Macaca mulatta: one gene and its partners. The protein of the gene in region 5 purifies or fractionates together with the protein of the main gene of each other region. This does not show direct contact. Links are inferred from orthologs where the notes say so. Each region holds a gene or a part of one and is shown on either strand. Other genes may lie near its edges. The genes, in order: EXOC1, EXOC7, EXOC3, EXOC8 and EXOC5.

Region 1 (3,513 bases), on a different chromosome or scaffold from region 5:
ATTTAGTTTTTCAAGAGGTTGTCCTAAAGAGTAAATGACATAAGACTGAAGGTGATCTGTGTATTTTTGTTTGGCGTCTTTTTTTTCTGCTTCTAGACATGAGATTTTCAATCGAGAAAGAGTTGCAAAAATATGGTGAAAGTTTTCCATCATAACCACATCCCTGGGGGTCTTCTGGCTTTCATTTGCTACTTTCTCCACTAAAACCAAAACAGAAAAAATAAAATAACATCTCTGAGTATGACCGTATTTAGCCACAAACATTTATATGATTATTTTTTCATTTGTAAGTTTAAGAATTAAGCACATTTCTGGACTTAATAAAATATATTGTAATGGGAGTTTTCAGATCTACCTAATCATCATAAAAAGTTATCCTAAAACAGTCCCATGTGTACATGGAAATTCAGTATATAATAAAAGTAGCGTTTCAAATCAATGGAGAAATGATGAATTATTCAAAGTGTGTTAGGACAACCAGCTGGACCATTTTAATATATGAAATTTAGGTCCCTATTTTACATCTTGCAGCCAAATTCTGAATTGCTAAATTATTTAAAATGTAAAAAGCAAACAAATAAATTAATATAATCATAAGTACTAAAGAAAATATAGCTAATTGAAAAATAATAATTTTGTGATGGGGTGACCTTGCTGAGAATGGCCCAAAATTCAGAAGACTATTAAGGGGAAAGATGAATAAATTGGACATAAAATTTGAAAATTCATGTAAACACACCATACACAAAATCAATGAAATGCAAAATAAAATAGTGAGATAATTTATAGCCTATCAGGTTGACACAGAATAAAAAGATTGGTAATACCTAGTAATATCCAGCATTTGTACAGTTGTAATGCAACTGCTCATAGCACTAAACTGACATAAGCTTTCTGTATCACAATTTGGGAAAAGACTTGAGATACATAAACCCTTTGACCCAGTAATTCCATTTCTAGTAATTTACCCTAAAGAAATTATTTGACAAGTATACAAAGATATATAAACTAAAAAAACCCTAAATGTTTATTTTATTTTATTTTATTTTTTTCTGTGTTGAAAACTTTTTATTGTATGTACCAGAGAGTATAGAAGAACATGCATTAACTTATTTACTGAATCTTCATAGTGAGTGATGTGTGTGTGCATATGTAGTTATCTCATTATCTATTTTTTGAGCATGTATTATTAGAAGAGATATTTGAAACTCACAAGATGTTTCTCTTTATTTTGATTCTTGACAAATTTTGGAAAGTTCCAACTTAGACAATATGTTCAAAATAAAAATACATTGCAAATTTCCATGTTCTAAACTAATTACAACAAAAGTACAATTTAGGAGAATTGTGGGCAGGGGAAATTAAATGAATTATAAGATTCATTAAGCATAATTTGATCATTGACTCTTTATACTGCATTAGATTTTTACATTTTATTCTTTCTGATGTAGATCAATATGTCTTGATCGTGCGCGCGCGCGCGCGCGCGCGTGTGTGTGTATGATCGCCAATGGTTTTTGTCATTTTGGAATGTCATGTAAAAGGGAAATGACAGTACCAGACGAACTATTATATGTGTACACAACTTATTCACTGAATCCTCACAGTGAGCGACATAAATCAAAACTCCCTGTGACAGTAGGGAAAGACTGGTAACTTTTAGTAGGAAAATGATACAGGTTAAAAAAACCCTAAATGTTTATTAATAGAAGATTTGGTAAATGGATAATGACATATGGATGACTATGTAATCGTTAAAAATGATTTTGTTTATCTATATTAACTAACAAGGAAAGGTACTAAGATTACATAGAGTCCAGCAGCTTCAAAAATAGTGTGTCAGATATGATAACATTTTTATATTAAAGAAAACACACACACACAATATGCACATATATAGAAGAGAGGGACAGGGAATTGAAAAGTTTGGAAGAATAAAAATTTAACATTATCTCTGTACAATAAGATTAAAAATGATCTTTCTTCCTGATTTGAAAATTCTATTTGCTGATTTTTGTGGATAAATAGTTATGTTTCAGGTCTTGTACTGGCTAGCACTTCAATAACAATGCTAAATAATAAAGGATCTAACAATATTTCTGCTTTAAACTGATTTCAGAGGGAATGTCTCTACTATTGCAGTTAAGTGTCATGTAAGCTTTAGGCCTGAGATAGATTTTTTATCCAATTAAAGGAATATCTGTCTGTTCTTAAGTTTTATACATTTTAGTTTCTTTATAAATGAATTAATTCATTTACAAAGAATAATGAATGAATTAATTCATTTATTATTTATTTTTAACACATGGTCTGGCGTTGTCATCCAGGCTAGAGTGCAGTGGCATGAACAAGGCTCACTGCAGCCTTGACCTCCTGAGCTCAAATGATTCTCCTGCCTCAGCCTCCTGTGTAGCTGAAACTCAGGGACACACCACCACACCTGGCTAATTTTTTTGATTTTTTTTATAGAGACAAGGCCTCACTATGATGCCCAGGCTGGTCTTCAACTCCTGGGCTCAAGCAATCCCCAAACTGGTCCTTCCAAAGTACGGCGATTACAGGTGTGGGCCAGTGTGCCTAGCCACATTACTTTAGAATCAGATAAAGCAAAGCTACTTTGAATTTTAAAAGGAAAAATCAAGGGCGGGCACAGTGGTTCATGCCTGTAATCCCAGCACTTTGGGAGGCCAAGGCAGGCAGATCACTTGAGGTCAAGAGTTTGAGACAAGTCTGGCCAACATGGTGAAACCCCGTCTCTACTAAAGATACAAAAATTAGCTGGGTGTGATGACACCTGCCTATAATTCCAGCTACTTAGGAGGCTGAGGCAGGAGAATTGCTCAAACTCAGGAGGTGAAGGTTGCAGTGAGCCGAGATTATGCCACAGTACTCCAGCCTGGGCAATAATTGGTGAAATGATTCCATTTCCTGCCAATTCTTTAGCTTCTACAATTCCTGAATATATGCAATCAGATCATTTATTTCACATGAAATGACATGCCCAGACTTTTCTGTAACTTAATTGTGGGATCTGACACAGGAAGAAAGCGAGTTATAGTATTTCAGCACTAATTTCTCCTGTATTTTAGTACTAATTTCCTTGTATAATAGATATGGAAAACTGAGGCCTAAATAAATGAATTGATTTGCTTAAGGTCACACACACATCACAGCCCATCATCTCTAGAAGACCACTTGTTGAAATGCAAATGTAATCTGGAAGGTCATGTTTTTGTGTTTAAAAAATGATTTTCTACAAAAAATTAGCAGGGTGTGGTGGGGTGCACCTGTAGTCCCAGCTACTTGGGAAGGTGAGGTGGGAGGATCATTTGAGCCTGGGAGGTGGAGGTTGCAGTGAGCCAACATAATGCCACTGCACTCCAGCCTGGGTGACAGAGTGAGGCCCATCTTAAAAAAAAAAAAAAAAAGATTTTCAATTTTGCATAGTCATAAGCCCATATGAACCCTAAAATGTAAGTGGTTCCTAATGATTATGAATAGGTTTTATTTTTC
Region 2 (4,215 bases), on a different chromosome or scaffold from region 5:
TGTCCACCTGAACCCAAAACATCCTCTCTGCAGCGGCTCACTAGCCCCCCTATTCTATTCTGTGACACCTAACAGTTTAAACTTTTCCCCACTTAGCCCTTAGGACGACACAAGGACCACGTCAGCGAAATCATCCTGGGTATTTCCTGACACAGGAATCTGCCCTTTACCTCCCCCACCTACAAAAGGACGGAAATTGTCCTCCTGCCCGAGGGAAGGCTGCCCATCCCTCTCCAGGCTCTGTACACCCATTTCCTCCTCCTCCTCTTTGGGTGGCTATGAGTAGAGGGAGCGCATGGGAACCCTAGAACTTGGTGCCCCCCAGGCTGGGAGTAGCGGCTCACGCCTGTAATCCCAGGACTTTGGGAAGCCGAGGTGGGTGGATCACTTGAGGTCATGAGTTCGAGACTAGACTGGGCAACATGGCAAAACCCTGTCTCTACCAACAATACAAAAAAATTAGCCGGGCGTGTTGGCAGCCGCCTGTAATCCCAGCTACTCAGGAGGCTGAGGCACGAGAATCACTTGAACCCGGGAGGCAGAGGTTTCAATGAGCGGAGATCGTGCCACTGAATTGCAGCCTGGGCGACAGAGTGATACTCCCTCTCACAACAAAAAAAGAAAAGCTTGGTGTCCGTCCCCCCCCCCCAACCTTCTCATCCACCAGCACATGCCTCCTTGTCTATCTTCCCGGTGTCTGGACACTGAGGCCACAGAAGGACTGAACCAAGTTGGTCGGCCATGTCCTGTCTCAAGGCCGGGGGCCAGAGGCAGGGTGGGCAGGGACTGGTTAGAGGAAGGAGTAATTCTAGGTTTTTCAGGAGCTGGGTCTACAACCACAACATCCAACCCTGCAGGGAAGTTGATCCAGGGGCGCCCACCACGCCATCCCCTGGAGCTGCAGCTGGAAGCTGGGACTGGGCCTGGAGCTCCGGAGCAGCCCCGCCAGCCCACAGGATACGGTTTTGCGTAATGCAGGGTTGAAGGGGAAAACGACTACACAAGCCCCTGGTTCATTACATGGACACACGTTAGGCATCTACTGTGTCACCTGCGCTGTGCCGGGCGCTGTGGGGAACACAATCGGCCTTGGTGCCTGCCCACAGAATGCGACCTGGGGAAAGGAATTCGTCGCCTTCCCCAGCAGTGTTTATGAAAAGGCTCGGTCTTTCAACGAAAACAGCAAGTGAGCTGTAAGCGTCCTACCAGCCGCGGGACATAAGGCCGATCAAAAACCTCTCCTGAGGAAAGGAACCCGCGTCGAGATCCCTTGTAGGATCCGAGTACACGTCACTCCACAGCCACACTCAAGATGGCCGTCGGTCCGTTCCTGGGCTCCGCGCAGGCGCACTTCCGCCTTCCACGCCCAACCTGGCTCCGCCCAGGTGTCCCGGGGCGGGACCAAGAGCGGAAGTGGGTGTGACGGGGACTGGGGCCCGGTGCGCCAGCGAAGGAGAGATAGTGGGGAGTGGGAGCCGTGGGGTTCGGAGCGATGATTCCCCCACAGGAGGCATCCGCCCGAAGGCGGGAGATCGAGGACAAGCTGAAGCAGGTGGGCGTGGGCCTGGGGAGGAGGTGAGGGAAAGAGGCCAACAGCGGGGCCTGAGTGTCTACTCGGAGAGGAGGCAGGGGTGGGAGGGAGCGCACCGAGCGAGGAGATGGGGTTGGGGGCTAGGCCGTGGGGTCGGGACACAGTGGTCTCCTTTAGCTTCTGGTTTCTGGTGATGTCCTCCCCTTGCCTGCTCCCAGGAGGAGGAGACGCTGTCCTTCATCCGAGACAGCCTGGAGAAGAGCGACCAGCTCACTAAGAACATGGTGAGTCTCCTCGCAGCTGGGGGAGGGGGCAGGCCTCCGGACCCTGGGGGAAAGCCTTGCGACCTGGCGGTTCCAGTTCTTGCGGCCTGGGGTTCTGTCATGGGTAGCGACGCAGGCAGTGTGTGGGTTTATCTAGCAGCAGTTTGGCATCTCTCCTGCCTAGCCCCCTCCCCATATTCCGTCCCCTCACTGAGGAGGCTGCGCTTCCCCCTGGCCTGGACTTGCTGCTTTCTGTCTAAGCTCGCCATTCTTCCTTCTCTCCTTCTGCAAATACTCAGTGAGTCTGACCAGTTAGTTGGGCTAGGTACTGGGCATATGTCATCGTCAATGGATCCTCTGCCCAGGAGGTTGGCACTTTGAGATTCCTGAGAGCAGAGAAGACTCAGCCTTCACTCCAGAGGGCTTCAGGGAAAGAAAGAGCTCTGAAGTCAGGCAGATCTGGGATCTAGTCCTTGCCCTGCTGCTTAAGTGTGTGGCTCCTGATAGGTAACTCTGGTGTCAGCGAATTCATCTGCTAAAGCAGAGACTGTGCCAGCCTCCCAGTGTGTCTGTGAAGGTCATATGCGCTAATGCATGCGACTGCATCTTGCTCAGTGCCTGGTATACAATAGGTGCTCAATAAGTGAGGTTCCTTCTTTATTCCTAGGGGAGACTGGAAAAGCACAAAGTGAGTAAATACAAACTTGTATTTGTATTTAGTCACACAATAATAAAGTCCTAGTCCTTTTCTAAAAAATTTAATTTTAAAATTATTTCTTTTTAGAGACAGGGTCTGGCTCTGTTGTGCAGGCTAGAGTGCAGTGGCATGACCGTAGCTCACTGCAGTCTCTAACTCCTGGGCTCAGGCAGTCCTCCTGCCTCGGCATCCTAGTAGCTGGGACTGTAGGCACATACCACCACACCTTGCTAATTATGTGCGTGTGTGTGTCTGTGTGTGTAGACAGGGTCTCACTGTGTTGTCCAGGCTGGTCTTGGACTCCTAGTCTCAAGCAATCCTCCTGCCTCAGCCTCCCAAATTCTTAGGATTACAGGCATGAACCATCACGCCCAGCCTCTAGTCCTTATTCAATGAGTTTCATCCTTAAGAGAGTTTTGAAGATACAGAAATGCATTTGAGGCTTCTCTGTATGAAACTACTTCCAGTCCAGTTTAGGAATGCTTCAAAGAGAGCAGAAGTTGAGATTTGGCTTCAAAGGGTGGAAGGGAAGCCATCTTGGGCTGATTATTTTAGGAAGAATTAATTTGATGCTTGGTTTGCCTTCAAATAAAATTTCAACCAATTTGTCTTAAATCACCTACTATATGCTAGGCACATGATGGGTGCTGAGGATACAATGGGGAACAGATACACCCTCTTCCTTCCCTTGTGGAGTTTATTGTCTAGAAACCCAGAGAAAAGGCAGGAAATGCCCAAGGTGGGTGTGTAGAAGCAGTGCTGGGACCACCATGAGGCCTGAGATCAAGAGGCTTCCCTCCTGCAGGTGTCTATCTTATCATCCTTTGAGAGCCGCCTTATGAAGCTGGAGAACTCCATCATCCCCGTGCACAAGCAGACGGAGAATCTGCAGCGGCTGCAGGAGAATGTTGAGAAGACACTGTCCTGCCTGGACCATGTCATCAGCTACTACCATGTGGCCAGTGACACTGAGAAGATCATCAGAGAGGGGTGAGTTAGGCCCATAGGGTCAATTCCTAATCCCTCCTGGACCGGAGGGTTGGTCTGTAATCCCAATAATTTGGGATGCTGATGCGGGAGGATCACTTGAGACCAGGAGTTCAAGACCAGCCTGGACAACACAGTGAGATGCCTTTTAAGCCCTAAGCCTTAAAAGGCGGTGGGGGGGATAGCATATATTTGAACCTGGAGTCCCATGTATTAATTCTCTTCTTTCCCTTCCAAATACTGTGTCCTTAGTCCTTCTTCACCCCCCTTGCCCCAGCCTGACCTGGCTCTTTTGCTTCCCAGCCCCACAGGTAGGCTGGAAGAGTACCTGGGAAGCATGGCCAAGATTCAGAAGGCAGTGGAGTATTTCCAGGACAACAGCCCAGACAGCCCAGAACTCAACAAAGTGGTAAGGGATCTGCAGAATAATGTGAGGAGCTTGGGGATATCAGTCTCTGCCCTGGTCTCATGAGGGACATGGGGCCAGCTTGAGGATGTATACAGTAGAATACACAGAAGGATATAGCACAGTACATCCTCTAGGCATTAGTATCTCTGCCTCAAGAATTGCACATTTTTTATTATTAAAAATTCTTTATTATAAAACTTTTAAATGTATTATAAAAATTAAATTATAAATTACATATAAAATATATACTTAACATTTGATTTTTTTTTTTTTTTTCTCCTGAGACAGAGTCTTGCTCTGTCACCCAGGCTGGAGTGCAGTGCTCAGT
Region 3 (4,290 bases), on a different chromosome or scaffold from region 5:
TTTAAGGGGAGAGCAGGTGCGTTTCATAGGCATGAGAGACATGGACATTTGGAAGATTCTAGATGTGGGTCCCAAACCACCCACCATGTAGATGTCAGTCTCCAAGGCACATCTCTCCCCAAGATAGGGCTGGTTTCTCATTTCGGGAGCCTTCCCCCAGCACCTTGGCCAGGCCTGTGGGCAGCTGTACCAGGACCCTCAGTGAAGACAAATGCAGCACAGACATCTCCCCCAAATAGGTACCACAGCTGGAGGCCCAGCACAAGCCCCACAATTCCCTATAAAAGTTACTATTGTCAGCCGGGCCCGGTGGCTCACGCCTGTAATCCCAGCACTTTGGGAGGCTGACGTGGGTAGATCACCAGGTCAGGAGATTGAGACCATCCTGGCTAACACAGCGAAACCTTGTATCTACTAAAAATACAAAAAAAAATTAGCCGGGCATGGTGGCGCCTGCCTGTAGTCCCAGCTACTCAAGAGGCTGAGGCAGGAGAATGGTATGAACCCAGGAGGTGGAGCTTGCAGTGAGCTGAGATTGCGTCACTGCACTCCAGCCTGGGCAACAAAGCAAGACTCTGTCTCAAAAAACAAAAAAAACAAACAAACAGCAACAAAAAAACTCATTACTGTCTTGGGTATCCAAAACCCCATTTCCCCCTTTTTTAACTGCCATAGAAAACATTGCGCTTCCCTCCTTTATGCAGGTCCGATGCAGACCACAGGTGCTCAGATGGCAGGCAAGCCTGCCTTCCATGCTCCCTCCACCATCGTCCTCCTCGGGGAGCTAAGACAGCTGCTTGGTGAGCATCTGGTCAATGCGGGAATCTGATACACCTGTTCCCCTTGATTTCAGCTGTTCGATTTTCATCTTCATGAATATTAACAAGATTCGCCTTCTCCTGGAATTTTTCATTCTCCGTGCCCACATGCTTTCAGACCCCTCTCTTCTCCTTTTTCATCTGGACCTACATTGCAACCTTTCCTTTCTCTTTATTTTCTGATTACGAAATTAGGCATACAATGTACAAAATCTGGACAGGACAAAAATACAAAGTCCCAACACCCAGGGGCAACTCCCCTTAAATCCCCACACTCAGGCAACTCTCCTTAAATCCCGACACTCAAGGGCAACTCCCCTTCAATCCCGACACTCAGGCAACTCCCCTTAAATCCCAACACTCAAGGGCGACTCCCCTTAAATCCCGACACTCAAGGGCGACTCCCCTTAAATCCCAATACTCAAGGGCAACTCCCCTTAAATCCCGACACTCGGGCAACTCCCCTTAAATCCCGACACTCGGGCAACTCCCCTTAAATCCCGACACTCAGGGCGACTCCCCTTAAATCCCGACACTCAGGCAACTCCCCTTAAATCCCAACACTCAGGCAACTCCCCTTAAATCCTGACACTTGGGCAACTCCCTCCAACAGGGCTTGTTTCCTTCCAGTTTTTTCCCTTTGAGTTTCTTTTAAAGCTAACGTTCCATTGCTTCTATGACTTCGCAGGTGCACACTTTTGTTTTCTTATTTTGTTTGGATATTATCATCAGCATTTCCATTGACATTAAAGTCTGCATGGTTTTGATTATAGGGCTGGATAACAACCCAAGAAGTGGACACCCAGCACTCTGCTGGTGCACACAGTGAGGTGACTGGACCCATCTCCAGGCTGGAGTGAAGTCTGTCATGCTGTGGGTGGAAGCCAAGGCGATGTGAGTGAAGAGCTGGGAAGCAGAAGCAGGCTCACCTTGGAGTCAGAACAAAGCTACTAATGTGGGAAAAGGGAAAACCTTAAGTTAAAAAACACAACGCAGAGGTTTTCATCCCAGCCTGAAGACTAAAGATTTTGGGTCAAGAAGCCAAAGAGGAACTCAGAAGCCACAAATAGAAACCCAGGTTCAACCCCTACCAGGGTCTTTCTGACTGCCTTTCCCTGGCGCTGGCTCTGCTGTGAGTCTCTCCACCGAGCGGGGGGGACACCCTACTGAGGGGAACATCAGCACCCAGGGGGACACCTGCGGCAGGGGGACACCTGCACCAGGGAGACACCTCTGCCGGGCGGGCACCTCCGCCGGGAGGGACACGTCACCGGGGGGATGCCTGCGTCGAGGGGAACACCTGTGCTGGGGGGCACCTCACGGAGGGGACACCTCCGCTGGAGGGACACGTGCACCTTGGAGGACACCTGCACCAGGAAAGACATTTGTGCCCGGAGGGACACTGCTCCGAGGAGGGACACCTGGTCCGAGAGGGGACACCTGCGCCAGGAAGGACAACTGCGCCTGGGGGGGCGGATACCGTCAAGGGGACACCTGTACCAGGAAGGATACTTGTGCCTGGGGGGACACCTGTGCCTGAGGGGACACCTGCACCTTGGAGGACACCTGCGCCAGGAAGGACACTTGTGCCTGGAGGGACACCTGCCCCAAGGAGGGACACCTGCTCCGAAGGGGGGACACCTGCGCCAGGAAGGACACCTGCGCCTGGTGCGGGGGAGACACCGTCAAGGAGAAACCTGCACCAGGAAGGACACTTGTGCCTGGGGGGACACATGTGCCGGGTAGGACACCTGCGCCGAGGGAACACCTGCGCCGAGGACACTCGCACGAGCGGGATACTCCACGGGACCCGGAACGGCCTCCCTACCCTCCAGGTCCCGGTCCGGCCTCCCCCTACGCGCCCCCGCGGAAGCCAGAGACAGGGAGAGCAAGGATGAAACACGGCGACCACCGCCCAGGGACCCGCGGGCCGTCCGGACCTGCCGCCGACTCACCCTCTAAGCCTACGCCGCAGCCTCAGCCACCGCCTCCGGAGTCCCGGAAGTGGACAGCGAACGGGTACTTCCGCTTCCGGCAACGGCGCCGGAAGCATGGGTCCGGCCCTCCGGGCGGGGCGGGTGCCCGTCTCTTGGCCGAGCGACTTCAGCTCGGAGACCTGCCCCGTGGCCGCTCCCCAGCAGGACATGGTAACTGCCGGGGTGGGGGTCTCCTTGCCCGTCCCAGCCCCCCCAACTCAGGCCCTCTCGCTGCCTCCGGCGACCCCCGCGTGCGCCCTTCCCCAGGGCCGGCGCAGTCTTGGAAGCCTCCGCCCAGCGTGGCTGCCTGCGTTTTCTCTCCGTTCCCTTCCCGACCTCCGGAGAGAAGACAGCCACAGAGCCGCTGTGGCTCCGTCCTCTGCTGACGCCTCATGTCTTTATGTTGGCCTTGCCGTCCGCACTGCAGTGTGGCAGGGGCGTCCCACCTTTGCCGCGGACTGAGGTGGGCGCCGAGCATTCAGTAAACGAGGAAACGAAAGCGGGGAAAGTTGGGAATCAAGCGTCTGTCTGCCTGCCACCAGCAGACTAGCGGCTTTGGGTACCCCTTGGACCCAAACACGAACTCAGCCCCTGCAGGAGCACAGTCATCGGCACCCACGTGGGAACAGTGCCCTGGGATGGGTGGCCACGGGATGTTTCTGGGGCCCCTCAGAGGCCCAGCGGCGCGGGTCTTGGAGAATGAATGTGTGTCACTGGGCCGCTGCTGCAGAGGGCCGGTCCTGAGTCGCTGCTTGGAAAAGAGGCCCACGGCCAGCGTTTGGCTTCACCAGGAGGAAAAAGCACGTGCTAAACCACCAGCATTCGGGGTTTGTCTGTTTGATAAAGGATGCACCAACTAACAAGAAAGTCCTTCATAGGTTGCAGCTGCTAGGTTGTGCCCCTGGCCCCTCCCGAAAATCGGCCACACAAAAGGAAGGGTCTGGAAGGTGGCAGAGAAGCCAGCAGAGACAAGGAAAGTGGCAGCAGCATAGGGCGGGGTCGCACAGAATGGAGATGGAGCTGTGGGAGCCCCCGCTGCCACTCCCACAAGGAGCCCTGCCCCGTGCCCTGCTGATGCTAACACCCCGGCTCTGTTATTTCCGTTTTTCCTTGTAATTTCTGAAAATCTAGCAACAAGTTGAGCAATGAAAAAATTTTTTTAAAAAAAGTTAAAATTATGTTAGAAATTATGACTAATTTTGAAACTAATGAAGGAAAAAAAATGGCCAAAATTACCAAAGCTTTTAGGACTCTTCAAAATATAGTAACATTGAGTATTATGAACTAAAGACATACTGTTATTCAATGTCTGGTAGTGAATTTGGATGGACTGTCTAGTAACTTCTTAACATTAAAAGTCTTTCTTGGTGGGGCACGGTGGCTCACGCCTGTAATCCCAGCACTTTGGGAGGCTGAGGCGGGCGGATCACGAGGTCAGGAGATCCAGACCATCCTGGCTAACATGGTGAAACCCCGTCTCTACCAGAAATACAAGA
Region 4 (4,055 bases), on a different chromosome or scaffold from region 5:
ACTGAAGATCCCCACTGCAACACACGAGCTCACTAAAGTGGGTTCCTAACGGGAAAGAGAGGAGGGGAACGCACATCCTTTGGAGGTTACTCTGCGTCCTCAGCACTTTCTTAGGGGCAGATTTGGTTGCTTTTCCCTTCAGGGTCCTACAGCACTATCATAAGGCAAATCAGGAACTTGTTATTTTCAAGTTTAGTGAGATTCAAACACAAATCTCTTTTCTCGTTAGGGCCCTGAGTCCAACCGTGGCGGTGGGGTCTACACAGCTTTCTTATTTTTCGAGTGGGAGAAAAGGTAAGAAAAAGAGAAATACGCCAAGGCAGGAATTGCCAGGTCCAAAACCAGACTCCCCCCTCATTTAATGCCCCCTGGGACCGTCGGACCAGAGAAAGGAGAGAAGACCAGGACCGGGGGCTGCAGGAGAACTGCCAGTCCCGCCTCTTTCCCCAGCGGGGCTCGGAACTCACAGGGTCATTCGCACGCTCCACTTCACCTCGACGGCCTCCAGCTGGCCCCAGAAGAACTGGTCGTTAAACTGAACAAACAGGGCCTGCAAGTCCGGTGTGGGGTCCACCAACTCCCACGACGCGTCCACTAGCGACAGGGACTCCTGGGCCTGATCGCGCTCCGCCTCCTGCAAGTTCCACTCCTCCTGAAGCCGCAGGGCCAACATCAGGTCATCGTCCATCGTTGCCAGGATCACAGGCGGGATCCGCCGGTGTCAGGCTGGCTCCGAGTTAGGCTGCGACCCCAAGCCGCCTAGCGGAGGACCAGGACTAGCTCCTAGGAGATACCGGCTCTCGAGACGGCCAGTCAATCCCGCGAGAGTTCGCGGAAACTCGCTTGAGAAAGAGAACGTGAACGAGAACGGCGCTTACCCCAAACGCCGAAGCCAAGATTCTAGGGCTTTAAAACAAGCAGTCAGCACGACACCTCCTAGTGGGCGCAGAACCTGGGCTCACAGGGCACCGGCCCTACGAAGCTTTCAGGAAGCTAGTTCCAGCCTTTACTCTTTGCCGGTTATTTCAAACCTCAACGTCACGCTCGGTTCATGCGCAGTACTCAAATTGCTCTCGGCCTCTCCACTCACTTCCGCACTAGCTCCTCCGGCGCATGCGCCTTAACTGATGGCATTCCTGCGCAGGCGCAATGTCTGCGCCTGGCCCCTTGCGCAGGCGCAGTGTCTGACGCTCAGACCCGGCGCAGGCGCACTCGTCTTGTTCCAATTCCTGCTTCCTCAGCCCAGGAGCTCGGTGGGTCTTGGGTGGGTGTAGACAGCCGCGGCGGCTGCGGCGCCGATAGTGACAGTGAGTGCGTGAGACCCGGACGGAAATGGCGATGGCGATGTCGGACAGTGGGGCGAGCCGCCTGCGTCGGCAGCTGGAGTCAGGGGGTTTTGAGGCGCGGCTGTACGTGAAGCAGCTCTCGCAGCAGTCGGATGGGGACCGGGACCTCCAGGAGCACCGGCAGCGCATCCAGGCGCTGGCGGAGGAGACGGCGCAGAACCTGAAGCGCAACGTCTACCAGAACTACCGGCAGTTCATAGAGACGGCCCGTGAGATCTCCTACCTGGAGAGCGAGATGTACCAGCTCAGCCACCTGCTGACGGAGCAGAAGAGCAGCCTGGAGAGCATCCCGCTTACGTTGCTGCCTGCCGCAGCTGCCGCCGGAGCCGCTGCCGCGTCTGGCGGGGAGGAGGGAGTCGGTGGGGCGGGGGGCCGAGACCACCTCCGAGGCCAGGCCGGTTTTTTCTCCACCCCCGGTGGCGCCTCCCGCGACGGCTCCGGTCCAGGCGAGGAAGGAAAGCAGCGCACTCTCACCACCCTGCTTGAGAAGGTGGAAGGCTGCAGGCATTTGCTGGAGACGCCGGGACAGTACCTGGTGTACAACGGGGACCTAGTGGAATACGATGCCGACCACATGGCCCAACTGCAGCGGGTGCACGGCTTTCTCATGAACGATTGTTTGTTGGTGGCTACCTGGCTGCCGCAGCGGCGGGGGATGTATCGCTACAACGCTCTCTATTCCCTAGATGGTTTGGCCGTAGTCAATGTCAAGGACAACCCGCCCATGAAGGACATGTTCAAGCTGCTTATGTTCCCCGAGAGCCGTATTTTCCAGGCCGAAAATGCTAAAATAAAACGAGAGTGGCTGGAAGTGCTGGAGGAGACCAAGAGAGCCCTCAGTGAGAAAAGGCGAAGGGAGCAGGAGGAGGCAGCGGCCCCTCGAGGGCCACCCCAAGTGACTTCCAAGGCCACTAACCCATTTGAGGATGACGAAGAAGAAGAGCCAGCTGTTCCTGAGGTAGAGGAAGAGAACGTGGACCTCTCCATGGAATGGATCCAGGAGTTACCTGAAGACCTGGATGTCTGCATTGCGCAGAGGGACTTTGAAGGGGCTGTTGACCTGCTGGATAAATTGAACCATTACCTGGAAGATAAGCCTAGCCCACCTCCTGTAAAAGAACTAAGGGCCAAAGTGGAGGAGCGAGTTCGACAGCTCACTGAGGTGCTGGTTTTCGAACTCTCCCCAGATCGTTCCCTGAGAGGTGGTCCCAAGGCTACTCGCAGAGCAGTTTCGCAACTGATCCGGCTGGGCCAGTGCACGAAGGCCTGTGAGCTATTTTTGAGAAACAGGGCAGCCGCTGTTCATACAGCAATTCGTCAGCTTCGCATTGAAGGCGCCACTTTACTCTATATTCATAAGCTGTGCCATGTCTTCTTTACCAGCCTTCTTGAGACTGCAAGAGAATTTGAGATTGATTTTGCAGGCACTGACAGCGGCTGCTACTCCGCCTTTGTGGTCTGGGCAAGATCAGCCATGGGCATGTTCGTGGATGCTTTCAGCAAGCAGGTGTTTGATAGTAAGGAGAGCCTCTCAACAGCAGCTGAGTGTGTAAAAGTGGCTAAGGAGCATTGCCAGCAACTGGGTGATATCGGACTGGACCTCACCTTCATCATCCATGCCCTTCTGGTGAAAGACATCCAAGGGGCCTTGCACAGTTACAAAGAAATCATCATTGAAGCCACTAAACATCGCAACTCTGAAGAGATGTGGAGAAGGATGAACTTGATGACGCCAGAAGCCCTGGGGAAGCTCAAAGAAGAGATGAAAAGCTGTGGGGTAAGTAACTTTGAGCAGTACACAGGGCATGACTGCTGGGTGAACCTAAGTTACACAGTGGTTGCTTTCACCAAACAGACCATGGGCTTCTTGGAAGAGGCTCTGAAGCTGTATTTCCCAGAGCTGCACATGGTACTTTTGGAGAGCCTGGTGGAAATCATTTTGGTTGCTGTTCAGCATGTGGATTATAGTCTTCGATGTGAGCAGGATCCAGAGAAGAAAGCTTTTATCAGACAGAATGCATCCTTCTTATATGAAACAGTCCTCCCTGTGGTGGAGAAAAGGTTTGAAGAAGGTGTGGGGAAACCTGCCAAGCAACTCCAAGATCTGAGGAATGCATCTAGACTTATTCGTGTGAATCCTGAAAGTACAACATCAGTGGTCTAATGCTTGGGTCTGTTTATATGTATGTATATATATAGAGAGAGCGCTTATATATTATTTATATTTATATTAAGTTGTATTAGCATACTCTTTATAGTTTCAAACACAACTTGAAAATTAAAAGTGCCCTCTTAGAATACAAAAATCAAAAAGAGGAAAAGAAGTTAAATTAAGCCCAAATAACAAAAATACTGGAATTATTAAAACATATAGTATGCTAGCTATCCTTTTAAATTATGCTGATTCTCTTCTGAAATTATGGTCACACTATACACTATAGCATTTCAGTTTCATCCTTTGATAAAACACTTTTTGGTTTTTTTTTTTTTTTTTTGAGACAGGGTCTCACCCTGTTGCCCAGGCTGGAGTACAGTGGCAACGTCACAACTAACTGCAGCCTTGACCTCCCAGGCCCAGGCAATCCTCTCACCTCAGCCTCCCATGTAGCTGGAACCACAGGCTGGCACCACCATACCCAGCTAATTTTTGTATTTTTTGTAGAGATGGGGTTTTACCATGTTGCCCAGGCTAGTGTTTTCTTTCTTCTT
Region 5 (3,513 bases):
GCATGCAGTGGCACAGTCATGGCTTATGGCAACTTTGAACTCCTGGGCTCAAGCAATACTCCTGCCTCAGCCTCCTGAGTAGCTATAACTATAGGTGCATGCCACTGCACCCAGCTAATTTTTTCTTTTTTTGTAGAGATGGGGTCTTGCTGTTTTGTAGAGATGGGGGCCTAGGCTGTTCTTGAACTCTTGACTCCAAGCGATTCTCCCTCCTCAGCCTCTCAATAATTTTTTGTTTTGATTTAAACTGTTTTCCTAAAGGTTTCTTTTCCTACTAACTTATGCCACTGCTGGACTGTTTGTGTGTGCCAGTTTTTCTGTAATTATTGAATATTCTTTAAAAATTTTAATTTCATGGTTAAAAACATACATCGTAGCTGAGTTCTGATGCCTATAAAGAAAAAAAGTGCGTCAGTATTACCTTAATTTTTATGTCTTTCATTAATAACAATGATTCATATTTTCTACATATGTATTGATTTTTTTTCTCTTGTAAAGTTTATTTGTTATTGGAGCCTTCAGTTTTCTTACCAGTTGGTAATCTTGTCTTTTACTTGGGTGGGGGAGGGGAACACCTTTATTTTCCATTATTAAGACAAAAAAATCATTGTCCTGTAAAGAACTCTAGGTAATCAAGCCTGTATTTTCTCATTAGCTATGCATATTTTCTTTAGTCTCTTAAGTCTTTTTAGCTAGAAACATAAACATCTAGGACCTTAGAGTTCATCTGTTATTCTTTACAAAAAGGAGGAAATGGAAATCCAGAGGTCAGCTGACATTTTGAGGTCAGAATATGGAGTGGCTTGATTCCCTTTTTATTTTATTCTGAATAAATTCCAGAATAAAATCAGGTATGTAATCTGTAGATAGAACATTTTGAGTATTTTTGAGAAAATAGTGTAGAGTACCGTAAGTGAAATGTGTCAGTTTAGGCATATTACTATGGCAGCAGTATCTAGGATAAAAGATAAAGAGACTTGAATGAGGAAGACCAATGAGAGAATTATTCGAACTATTATCAGAGATAAAGAGGCCTGGTTATAAGAAATATGTGGAGATGTATTCATGGCTCACGTGAATCATGAAGGCAAAGTAGATAGATGGTGAACATTGGGCGTAAAAATAACTTTGGATGAGTTTTACTAGTATAAGCTTAGCTTGATTTTCCTCTTCTGTCCACAGAAGTCATTACTGATGTATTAAAACAGTGGTTTCATTTATGTTATAGATTTAAAAACCACATTCTTTTTTTCTGTTGCCAAGATGAATTTCTTCAAGGATGATTCTAACATATGTATGCTTTCTGGTTTTAGGAATTCCCTCTTCAGATTCTAGGAATGCAAATCTTTATTTTTTGGATGTTGTGCAACAGGCCAATACTATTTTTCATCTTTTTGACAAACAGTTTAATGATCACCTTATGCCACTAATAAGGTTAGTCAAATTATCTGATTTTCATTGATATTTCAGTGACTGTTACAGCATTCTACATAATATTCTACGTGTATTTTCATTAAATTTAAAAAGTACATGTTCACAAAAATGTCAGACTGGACAAGTGGAATGAAATAAAAATATAAAAATTCCTAGGAAATAAAACATTAAATATTGTTTCTTCTTGCATTTCTGTTTTCTCTTTCCACTATATTATTAATTTTGGTGTATTTCAAAAGATTTAATCTGTCACAAACCTAAATCTGAAATCTCATGTGAAAGAGGACCTCCAGCTTAGTGAAACTCAGCAAATTTGACATCTTTTAAAAGATCTCATAGACAAAGTCCATGTACCCACTTGTTATAAAGACATACAAAAAATTTTATAAGATTAATAGGACAGATTTTAATGAGGCATTAAGTAAAGTTTGGTTTATATCTTCATATCAATTTATGTGAACTTATAAAACATTTGAGAATCAAATAAGATGGTGTATATGTGAACATGCTTTACAAAATTCTCTTTAGCACTATTATGTAAGAGGAAAAATATTCATATAAAATTTTTTGACTTTTTGTTATAAACACTGACATGCCAAGAATAGTCCAGAAACAGTCTCAAAGATAACAGTCACTTGTAATCCCTGAGTCATACTTTGAAAGGAAATTTACTTTTCAAGATCTGTTATACCACATAGCAGAGAATTCACACAATTATTAGGGTTGCCTATTTCTTAATATTTTGAATGTTTTGACATTCTGATAGCATTCAGAAGGCAAATATGATTGTCAGGTTTTTAAAAATACAAGTGGATTGGCTGTTTCCCTCCAAATTTTATAGTATGATTTACTGTATTCTTAAAACTCTGGTGATGCTAGTCTATAGCTTTTGTTGGTGTTACACTAGATATTTGTTTATAAAGAAAACCAAATAATTCCACAATTTTAAAGTCACATTTATATTCTTGAGAGATGTCTCCTCAGAGATCAAAATAACAAATTTAAGTGGTCCTCTTCCTTAGTCTATTATAATGAATTGGGCATAGTGAATGCTAAATAATTACTTTGCTTCTTATATGCTTCTTGGATTTGTTAACAATATTAATGCATGTATATGGATGTATTTATAAATGGATACAATGTAATACACATCGATGTAAGAAAAACTTTCAGAAAATCTCATATTATTAATATGACTCTTTTTCCATTTTAAATATACAATAGCTCTTCTCCTAAGTTATCTGAATGCCTTCAGAAGAAAAAAGAAATAATTGAACAAATGGAGATGAAATTGGATACTGGCATTGACAGGCAAGTTGTTGGTTTTGTCTCTTGCATTTTTTAAAATTATAAAAACACCATATTATAGCAGCATGCAAATACTTTGTAGAGAAGAAAAATATTTATCTTAATTCCACCATATTGCTACAACATTTGATAAAAAAAAAATTATTTTTACATATTGCCTTCATCCTTATTAGAATGTTGTTTTTATTGGATCCTGAAGTTTTTTACTTTGGCCTATCTTGGCATTTAACATACCTTCCTCACTAAGCTTAATCATTTCTAGCTTTTGATTTAAAGTGAGAAGTATGTGACGTTTTTCAGTTGAACACTTAGAGGCCATTGTAGGATTATTAATTGTCCTAATTTCAATGTTACTGTGTTTCAAGGAATAGGGAGGCCCAAGGAGAGGCAGAGAGACAGGGAAATAGCCATTAACTGGAGTAATCAGAACACACACTATATTTGTCAGTTAGGTTCACTGTCTTCTATGGGTATGGTTTGTGACCCAAAACAATTAAAATAGTAACATCAAAGATCACTGATCACAGATCACCATAACAGATTTAGCAGTAATGAAAATGTTTTAAATATTGTAAGAATTACCAAAATGTGACACAGAAACACAAAGTGAGCCCATGCTGTTGGAAAAATGGCACTGATAGACTTGCGTTGCCACAAGCCTGCAACTTGTAAAAAAACAAACAAAACAAACCACAGTATCTGTGAAACACAATCAAATGAAGCAGAATAAAACAAGGTATGCCTGGATAATCAGAAGTGGGGTTGTTGGAT

Evidence for each region.
Region 1: the proteins of EXOC5 (region 5) and EXOC1 purify together in Homo sapiens (affinity purification with mass spectrometry; 4 studies listed by BioGRID and IntAct, counting the BioPlex papers as one, with this or other methods). This does not show direct contact. The link is inferred for Macaca mulatta from reciprocal best matches to the Homo sapiens genes EXOC5 and EXOC1.
Region 2: the proteins of EXOC5 (region 5) and EXOC7 fractionate together in Homo sapiens (co-fractionation; 4 studies listed by BioGRID and IntAct, with this or other methods). This does not show direct contact. The link is inferred for Macaca mulatta from reciprocal best matches to the Homo sapiens genes EXOC5 and EXOC7.
Region 3: the proteins of EXOC5 (region 5) and EXOC3 purify together in Homo sapiens (affinity purification with mass spectrometry; 7 studies listed by BioGRID and IntAct, counting the BioPlex papers as one, with this or other methods). This does not show direct contact. The link is inferred for Macaca mulatta from reciprocal best matches to the Homo sapiens genes EXOC5 and EXOC3.
Region 4: the proteins of EXOC5 (region 5) and EXOC8 purify together in Homo sapiens (affinity purification with mass spectrometry; 5 studies listed by BioGRID and IntAct, counting the BioPlex papers as one, with this or other methods). This does not show direct contact. The link is inferred for Macaca mulatta from reciprocal best matches to the Homo sapiens genes EXOC5 and EXOC8.

The regions. Positions count from the first base shown.
Region 1 is NC_133410.1:77,573,700-77,577,212, forward strand, and holds part of EXOC1 (exocyst complex component 1), read right to left. Parts: intron 201-3,513; coding exon 1-200.
Region 2 is NC_133421.1:85,832,945-85,837,159, reverse strand, and holds the start of EXOC7 (exocyst complex component 7), read left to right. Parts: upstream 1-1,409; 5' UTR 1,410-1,492; coding exon 1,493-1,552; intron 1,553-1,749; coding exon 1,750-1,815; intron 1,816-3,296; coding exon 3,297-3,481; intron 3,482-3,781; coding exon 3,782-3,887; intron 3,888-4,215. UniProt on the Homo sapiens protein: Component of the exocyst complex involved in the docking of exocytic vesicles with fusion sites on the plasma membrane.
Region 3 is NC_133411.1:1,538,463-1,542,752, reverse strand, and holds the start of EXOC3 (exocyst complex component 3), read right to left. Parts: upstream 2,813-4,290; 5' UTR 2,774-2,812; exon of another isoform or gene 2,394-2,773; intron 2,300-2,393; exon of another isoform or gene 2,097-2,299; intron 1-2,096. UniProt on the Homo sapiens protein: Component of the exocyst complex involved in the docking of exocytic vesicles with fusion sites on the plasma membrane.
Region 4 is NC_133406.1:17,695,470-17,699,524, forward strand, and holds EXOC8 (exocyst complex component 8), read left to right. Parts: upstream 1-1,242; 5' UTR 1,243-1,332; coding exon 1,333-3,510; 3' UTR 3,511-3,839; downstream 3,840-4,055. Other genes in the region: DNA-dependent metalloprotease SPRTN, read right to left, coding at 468-688. UniProt on the Homo sapiens protein: Component of the exocyst complex involved in the docking of exocytic vesicles with fusion sites on the plasma membrane.
Region 5 is NC_133412.1:130,332,596-130,336,108, reverse strand, and holds part of EXOC5 (exocyst complex component 5), read left to right. Parts: intron 1-1,313; coding exon 1,314-1,434; intron 1,435-2,658; coding exon 2,659-2,745; intron 2,746-3,513. UniProt on the Homo sapiens protein: Component of the exocyst complex involved in the docking of exocytic vesicles with fusion sites on the plasma membrane.